Linked DNA regions of Canis lupus familiaris. The protein of the gene in region 1 purifies or fractionates together with the protein of each later gene. This does not show direct contact. Links are inferred from orthologs where the notes say so. Each region holds a gene or a part of one and is shown on either strand. Other genes may lie near its edges. The genes, in order: KCNA5 and KCNAB2.

The links.
Region 2: the proteins of KCNA5 (region 1) and KCNAB2 purify together in Homo sapiens (co-immunoprecipitation; 3 studies listed by BioGRID and IntAct, counting the BioPlex papers as one, with this or other methods). This does not show direct contact. The link is inferred for Canis lupus familiaris from reciprocal best matches to the Homo sapiens genes KCNA5 and KCNAB2.

What each region holds. Positions count from the first base shown.
Region 1 is NC_049248.1:6,280,192-6,284,020, forward strand, and holds KCNA5 (potassium voltage-gated channel subfamily A member 5), read left to right. Parts: upstream 1-1,269; coding exon 1,270-3,072; downstream 3,073-3,829. UniProt on the Homo sapiens protein: Voltage-gated potassium channel that mediates transmembrane potassium transport in excitable membranes. Forms tetrameric potassium-selective channels through which potassium ions pass in accordance with their electrochemical gradient.
Region 2 is NC_049226.1:60,500,545-60,503,778, reverse strand, and holds part of KCNAB2 (voltage-gated potassium channel subunit beta-2), read right to left. Parts: intron 2,593-3,234; coding exon 2,472-2,592; intron 2,058-2,471; coding exon 1,969-2,057; intron 906-1,968; coding exon of another isoform or gene 816-905; exon of another isoform or gene 1-815.

The DNA.
Region 1 (3,829 bases):
CATTGCTATAGGAATACACCAGTCAGTCATTGTAAAGAGCCGACAATGCACCTGGTACATCATAGGAACAAAGTAAGTATTGCTTCTTATTCTGCTCCGTGGAGGCCTCCAACCTTGGGATTCCACAGCCTCCAGGGCCCCACTCCTGCCCCCTACATACCCCCCCGCCCCCCCCCCCCCCCACACACACACAAAGCTGCAGTTGCCAGCTCCAAACTTCACCGGAGAACAGCTCTCTTCCTCTCTTTCTCTCTTACTGGATTTTGCAAACCGGATTTATGCAGAGTGAGGAGTTATATGTCCTCAGGAATAGGAGACCAGGCAGTGAATTTGTCCCACGGGCCATGACTCTCTGGACTGCGAATCAGGGCTGTCCCAGGGCTATGGCAGGGGGTCACTGCCAGCTGTCAGCCGGTTACCTTTGGGTGGGAAGAGAGAGGCTTCTACACCTTGGTCTGGAGGTATCTCCAGCCCTAGGTATCTCTAGATCTATAGATCCCCAGGGCCCATAGCTCTGCCCAGCCTCTTCTTGTCCATAATTCTTCCCCAAGAAGATGGAATGGTTAGTTACTCCTCCAAAGGAGGATTGTAAAAGGGCTGTTATTTCATGTCTCATCCGTCCAACCCAAGGCAGTTCATTTCCCCTGGAGTCCACTTGGCGTTCAGCGGGTTCCCAGGTGAACTGAAATCCACAGCTATTCTCATCTGGTTGCCCTGGGAGTTTTGGCGCTGTCGGTACAACCTGTTCCTTCAGCCTCTCATTCCCCCCCCTCCCTCCCCCCACCTCCAGGCTGCTCCCTTCTCCGCCACACCCCCCCCCCCCAGTCGCCCCAGGCCCCAGCCGTGCCCTCCCTCCGGGGAGACACCCGCTGCTGGAGACCCAGGAGGGGACGCGGGGGAAGGAGGAGGGGAGGGGACGGGGCGGGGTAGGGAAGAGGCGGGAGAGCCGCGCTGGGTGGAGGCCGAGGCCGAGCGCCGCCCCGCAGCCAGAGAGGGGCGGCTGAAGGTTGCATCTGCTGGAAGGAGGCTTTTGGCTGCCTGGTAACGGGCTGCCGGAACGGAGAGCGGAGAGCGAGGCAGCGAGCAGGGCAGCAGCTTCCTGACGTCAGGGCCGAGCCCGGGGATCGCGCCAGCAGCCCCAGCCCGCCCCGCAGGGAGGCCGGCCGACGGCTGGAGAAGAGCCTGAGCCACGCAAGGCGCCCAGCCGGGCGCGAGCGGGGGCTCGGACGCCGGTCAGTGGGGGCGCAGCATGCCCCCTGCCCCCCGGCCATGGAGCTCGCCCTGGTGCCCCTGGAGAACGGCGGGGCCATGACCGTCAGGGGAGGAGGTGAGGCCCGGGCAGGCTGTGGCCAGGCCGTAGGGGGGGAGCTCCAGTGCCCCCCGACGGCTGCGCGCGGCGCCGGCCCCAAGGAGCGGGAGCCCAGGGAGCGCGGCCCGCCGAGGGGAGCGGACCCCGGAGCGCGGCCTCTGCCAGCGCTGCCTCTGCCTCGACGGCTGCCCCCGGAGGACGAGGAGGGAGACGGCGACCCCGCCCTGGGCCTGGCGGAGGACCAGGTGCCGGGCCCGGGCTCGGGGTCCTTTCACCACCAGCGCGTCCTCATCAACATCTCCGGGCTGCGCTTCGAGACGCAGCTGGGCACCCTGGCGCAGTTCCCCGACACCCTCCTGGGGGACCCGGCCAAGCGCCTGCGCTACTTCGACCCCCTGCGGAACGAGTACTTCTTCGACCGCAACCGGCCCAGCTTCGACGGCATCCTCTACTACTACCAGTCCGGGGGCCGCCTGCGGAGGCCGGTCAACGTCTCGCTGGACGTGTTCGCCGATGAGATCCGCTTCTACCAGCTGGGGGACGAGGCCCTGGAGCGCTTCCGCGAGGACGAGGGCTTCATCAAGGAGGAGGAGAAGCCGCTGCCCCGCAACGAGTTCCAGCGACAGGTGTGGCTTATCTTCGAGTACCCGGAAAGCTCCGGGTCCGCCAGGGCCATCGCGATCGTCTCGGTCTTGGTCATTCTCATCTCCATCATCACCTTCTGCTTGGAGACCTTGCCCGAGTTCCGGGACGAGCGCGAGCTGCTGCGCCATCCCCCGGGGCCCCCCCACCCCCCTGGGCCCGCCCGGGGGACCAACGGCAGCGCGGCCCTGGCGCCCGCCTCGGGCCCCACGGTGGCGCCTCTCCTGCCGCGGACCCTGGCTGACCCCTTCTTCATCGTAGAGACCACGTGCGTCATCTGGTTCACCTTCGAGCTGCTCGTGCGCTTCTTCGCCTGCCCCAGCAAGGCGGAGTTCTCTCGGAACATCATGAACATCATTGACGTGGTGGCCATCTTCCCCTACTTCATCACCCTGGGCACCGAGCTGGCCGAGCAACAGCCAGGCGGGGGAGGGGGTGGCCAGAATGGGCAGCAGGCCATGTCCCTGGCCATCCTCAGAGTGATCCGCCTGGTCCGGGTGTTCCGCATCTTCAAGCTCTCCCGCCACTCCAAGGGGCTGCAGATCCTGGGCAAGACCTTGCAGGCCTCCATGAGGGAGCTGGGCCTGCTCATCTTCTTCCTCTTCATCGGGGTCATCCTCTTCTCCAGTGCCGTCTACTTCGCAGAGGCTGACAACCAGGAGACCCACTTTTCCAGCATCCCGGACGCCTTCTGGTGGGCAGTCGTCACAATGACCACGGTAGGCTATGGGGACATGAGGCCTGTCACTGTGGGGGGCAAGATCGTGGGCTCGCTGTGTGCCATCGCCGGGGTCCTCACCATCGCCCTGCCTGTGCCCGTCATTGTCTCCAACTTCAACTACTTCTACCACCGGGAGACGGACCACGAGGAGCAGGCCGCTCTGAAGGAAGAGCAGGGCAGCCAGAGCCAGGGGACAGGGCTGGACAGCGGAGGCCCTCGGAAGACCAGCTGGAGCAAGGGGTCCCTGTGCAAGGCTGGAGTGTCCCTGGAGAATGCAGACGGAGCCCGAAGGGGCAGCTGCCCCCTGGAGAAGTGTAACCTCAAGGCCAAAAGCAATGTGGACTTGCGGCGATCCCTCTATGCCCTCTGCCTGGACACGAGTCGGGAAACGGATTTGTAAGGGGGAGCCCCGGCAGAGTGGTGGTAGTGGGGTGGGGATAGCAGAGACCTCCTGAGCCGGGGTACTGACTTTATACCACGGAGTATTTCAAGCCCACCTTGAAGTCTGTCCCTCTTTAGACTTCTCTCCTTCCCTCCCTCCCTTGATCCCCCATTTTTCCTCTTCTTTCCATGACACCAAGGGTCGCCTATTTTTAAAAAGTACCACATTCCATGACGCAGGAGCTGTTGAAATGGTGAGCACTACGAAATGGATGTATTTGTAGCCAGTTCCCTATACCCAGCAGAGGGATAACCCAAACAAAAAATGACTTTAAATAGCCAAGATCCCAAGGGATTTTGTAACCCCCTCCATGTGTTCCAAATTTGCTTTACATATGATTTTATTTGTGTATAGGGGAAAATATTATTTTTATGGCTGGTGAGTGGATTTTTGTACTGTAGTTCAGATGGAGATATTTTGGATACATTTTCCAGAAATGCTGTATTTATGGAAGAGGGAGTTATTGTGATGTTTTTCTGTGATAATTCTATTAGAGCCAGAGACCCTGGTTATGGCTGTTCTGGTTCCTGTTGTCTGTAAGCCTCTCTGTTTTCTGGGATCTGGTATCGGTGTTTTGCGTCTAGGGCAAGGAATGTTCTGGAAGAAAGGCAAGACTGACCTTCTCTGTGCGCCTTAAACAATTCTTGTAATTTTCTTTGAAAAGCATTTTAATGATGTTGAAGAAAGACTTTTGATAATTCATTCTCTTTATTTC
Region 2 (3,234 bases), on another chromosome or scaffold:
CTGGAGCCAGCTCCTCAGACCCCTCCCGTGGGCTTGGGGCTGCTCTGGGCACGAGGCTCATCAACTGTGTGCAGGGAGGCAGCTGGCAGGGTGATGAACTCAGACCCCCAAAATTCCCATGGGCCCCAAACTGATAGTGAATCCCCCTGGATCTCTGCCCCTGCCAGTAAGGGTGGGGGTGGGGGCCAAGGGACAGCACGGAAGGCCCCAGAGAGACCTGCTGGGGCAGGTGGTGGTGCTGAAGAAGGCGCAGAATGAATCTGAGGTCAGGCCCATCGTAAAATCCTGGGAGCCCTTGACAAGAGGGAAGTGGAGGGGGACCCCACTGGGGAGGCCCTGCCCAACATCCAGTGCCCCAGCAGAGGGGGCCACAGGAAGGGCCAGCCCTGGTTTCCTCTTTCCCACCCCCAACACCAAGTGGGGGTTCTCAGCAGATGAGAGGCCAGCCCTGCTGCCCCCAGGACACAGGCCAGGCCTGGAGGCATCTCTGGGAAAGGCGGAGGCTGGGAGCAACTGGGGTGCTTTCTTCTTGGAGGGGGAGTAGAGGCTGTAGGCGGGCTCGGGCGGGACCGCTCCAACATCCTGCCCCATCAACGCGGCCTCCCCGGCACGGATCTGAATTCGGTCCCGCGAAGCAGTGAATGGTGTTTTGCAGCAACTTTTGAGATCTTTTCCCCACGAGGAGGACATCTTGCCGTGATGTTTTCTGTTTGATGCAAACCACACCCCTGACTTGGCTTCAAAACGGCTTAAGCGAGCGAACAGAGAGACTAGGAGGGAAAGAGAAACTGTCCGGGCAAGCGGCCGGGGGCTTCTTAGGATCTGTAGTCCTTTTTGCTGTAGGGTTTATTGCCCAAAATACTATCAATCTCGTGGATAATGGAAGACGACAGTTTCGGAAGGACCTGCGTGCGAGGACAGGAGCTAATCAGAATCCCACCCGCGAGACTGGCCCGGCCTGTGGAGGAGGCTGGGTGACAGTCTTCGGGCCACTGCTGGCCTGGCCCGCCTCATCGCATCAGACTCTCGCCCAAGCAGGTGGGCACTAGGCTGCTTCTGTGTTCCACAAGTTCTGGGGCAGAGAGGAAGCCTGCCTGGGTTTATCTCTGCGCCTCAAGCTCCAGAATGCTCTAGAACAGTCTAGAAGGCATAAAATACAGGTTCCAGGGCCAGACCCCTGATACCTTCACCCCTAAACTACTTTTCCTAGCCTTCCATACTTCAACCAACAGCAAGGCCATCCTTGCAGGTAACGCAAGCCTGTGGGCAGCCTCTTCTTGTGCTCACCCTGGTCCCCATCCCGTTGGCCTCACAGTCCTGAACATCCAGGATCCAACCCTCTCCGAGGAGGCCTCCTGTCACTTCCCTGCAGATCTCTCCGTGCCCTCCTCCTCTTCCCTAAAGGCTTTCCTCCACTCAGCAGCTAGGGGGAGAGGGATCAGGCCCTCCTCTGCTCTGGAGCGGGGGCTCCTGCTCACCCAACAACCAACGAAGTCCCTAGAACCCTGGGCACAGTCCCCCCTTCCCCTGCCCCGCCCCTCTGCTCCAGGCCACACCCACCGGCGCCTCCTTTGCTCCCGGCGGTTCCTCCAGGGGTTTGCAGGTGCCACTCCTCACCCTTGGAGCCTTTGCTTACATGTCATTTTTTCAGCAAGCCTACCCCTGACCCCCTTCAGCCTGGACCACAGCACCACCTCCCTTCTGCGCCCACCAACTCCCCTGCCCTTGCTCTGGTGCTTATCACCTTCATATTCCAATTTCCTCATTTCTTGCATTCAGAGCTCACTGTCTGCTCTTCCAGAGCAGAACTTTTGGTGGCTCGCTGATGTAGCCCGGACACTTACAACAGTGCCCGGCCCATTGTAGGTGCCCAAGAACATGGGCTGGACGAATGACTGACTAGGACCTTGAGTTCGGTTCAAGGGCTTGGGGGTGACACATGCACATGCACAGAGCCCCCCAACTCACCTGTATTGCTCCAATGTTCTCCATTAGCTGGTCTGCGCTGGAAGCACCCAGGAGCACAGAGCTCACTCCCTCATTCCTCAGGCACCAGGCTGGGGCAGTAGAACCAGAGGTGAGGGAGACACACCCAGGGCAGGGGCCCTTCCTGGTTCTTCCCTGTCCCTAACTGGGCCACAGAGATCCAGCCTGTGGGCCATGGGGCTGAGGGTGCCCAGAAGGTCCCTGGCAAGCCTGCCGCTTGGCATGCTGGGTGGGGGATTTGCCGGGGATGGGGCTGCAGAGGGCTCTGGGAGAGGCCTGGTACCAACAGCGTCCAGGGGGAGAAGTGGACCAAGTGCTCAGGGACGACCCCCCACCCTTGTCTCCCCATGAATGTAGGGGCCCTATTACCTACTGGCTAAGGGAGGCAGTGGCCCGCCCAGGCACTCAAGGACTCCTGACATAGCCCCAGGGCCAGTACTCAATCCTTCCCCCTCCACCCCCACCCTCACCCCAGGTCCTGTTACCTATGGCTAGCTGGGGGAGTGTGCAGCCCAGACGCTCTGCAATGGCCTGCAGCTCCTTCAGCTTGGCCTGCTGGCGCCGGCCCTCCTCACTCAGGATTTTGTCCTTCAGCCACTGGTAACCCTGGTTGTGGAGGGTGAAGAGCACAGCCTACAGGTGAGGGCAGGGCACCTGGACCTCTGGATGCAGATGGCTGATGGCTTGTGCCAAAGCAGCATCCGCCCCCCTGCCTAACCGTGTCCCACTGCAGAACAGGCCCGGGCAGTCAGAAGCATGGGGCCTGTCTAGTCTGAAAGCGCAAGCCTGTGGGGCCCCTGAGCCAGGCAAAGAGCCTGGCAGCCTGGCGAGGAATGCTTTGGCCTGTGGCCCAAAGGTCTGGGGGAGCTGTGGTTTCACCTGCCCCAACCCACGGGATTGCAACGCTTTCCAGGGGACTCCCTGACTTTGCTGTGGATGGGGCAGGAGTGGGTGGACAGGCCATCCTGCCCTTGAACCCGAGGCCCGGGGCTCCGTGCAGCGGGATTTGCCCCGACCTGGGCAGGCCTTTCTCTGCCTGCTCCTCATCCCTCAAGCCCTGCATTTTGGGATCCTCCAGAGGTGTGTCTGTGCGTGGGGTCTTGTCTTGTCCCAGGAGACCTTCCCCGATCGACAAATGAAGCAGCCCTGCGGCCTCCAGCCCGGAGGTCTCAGTGTGGGCCGCGGAAGGTGGAGGGGCTACCTCGGGGCAGGGCCGACCCGAAGAGTCGGTGGACCCCACCGGGTTGT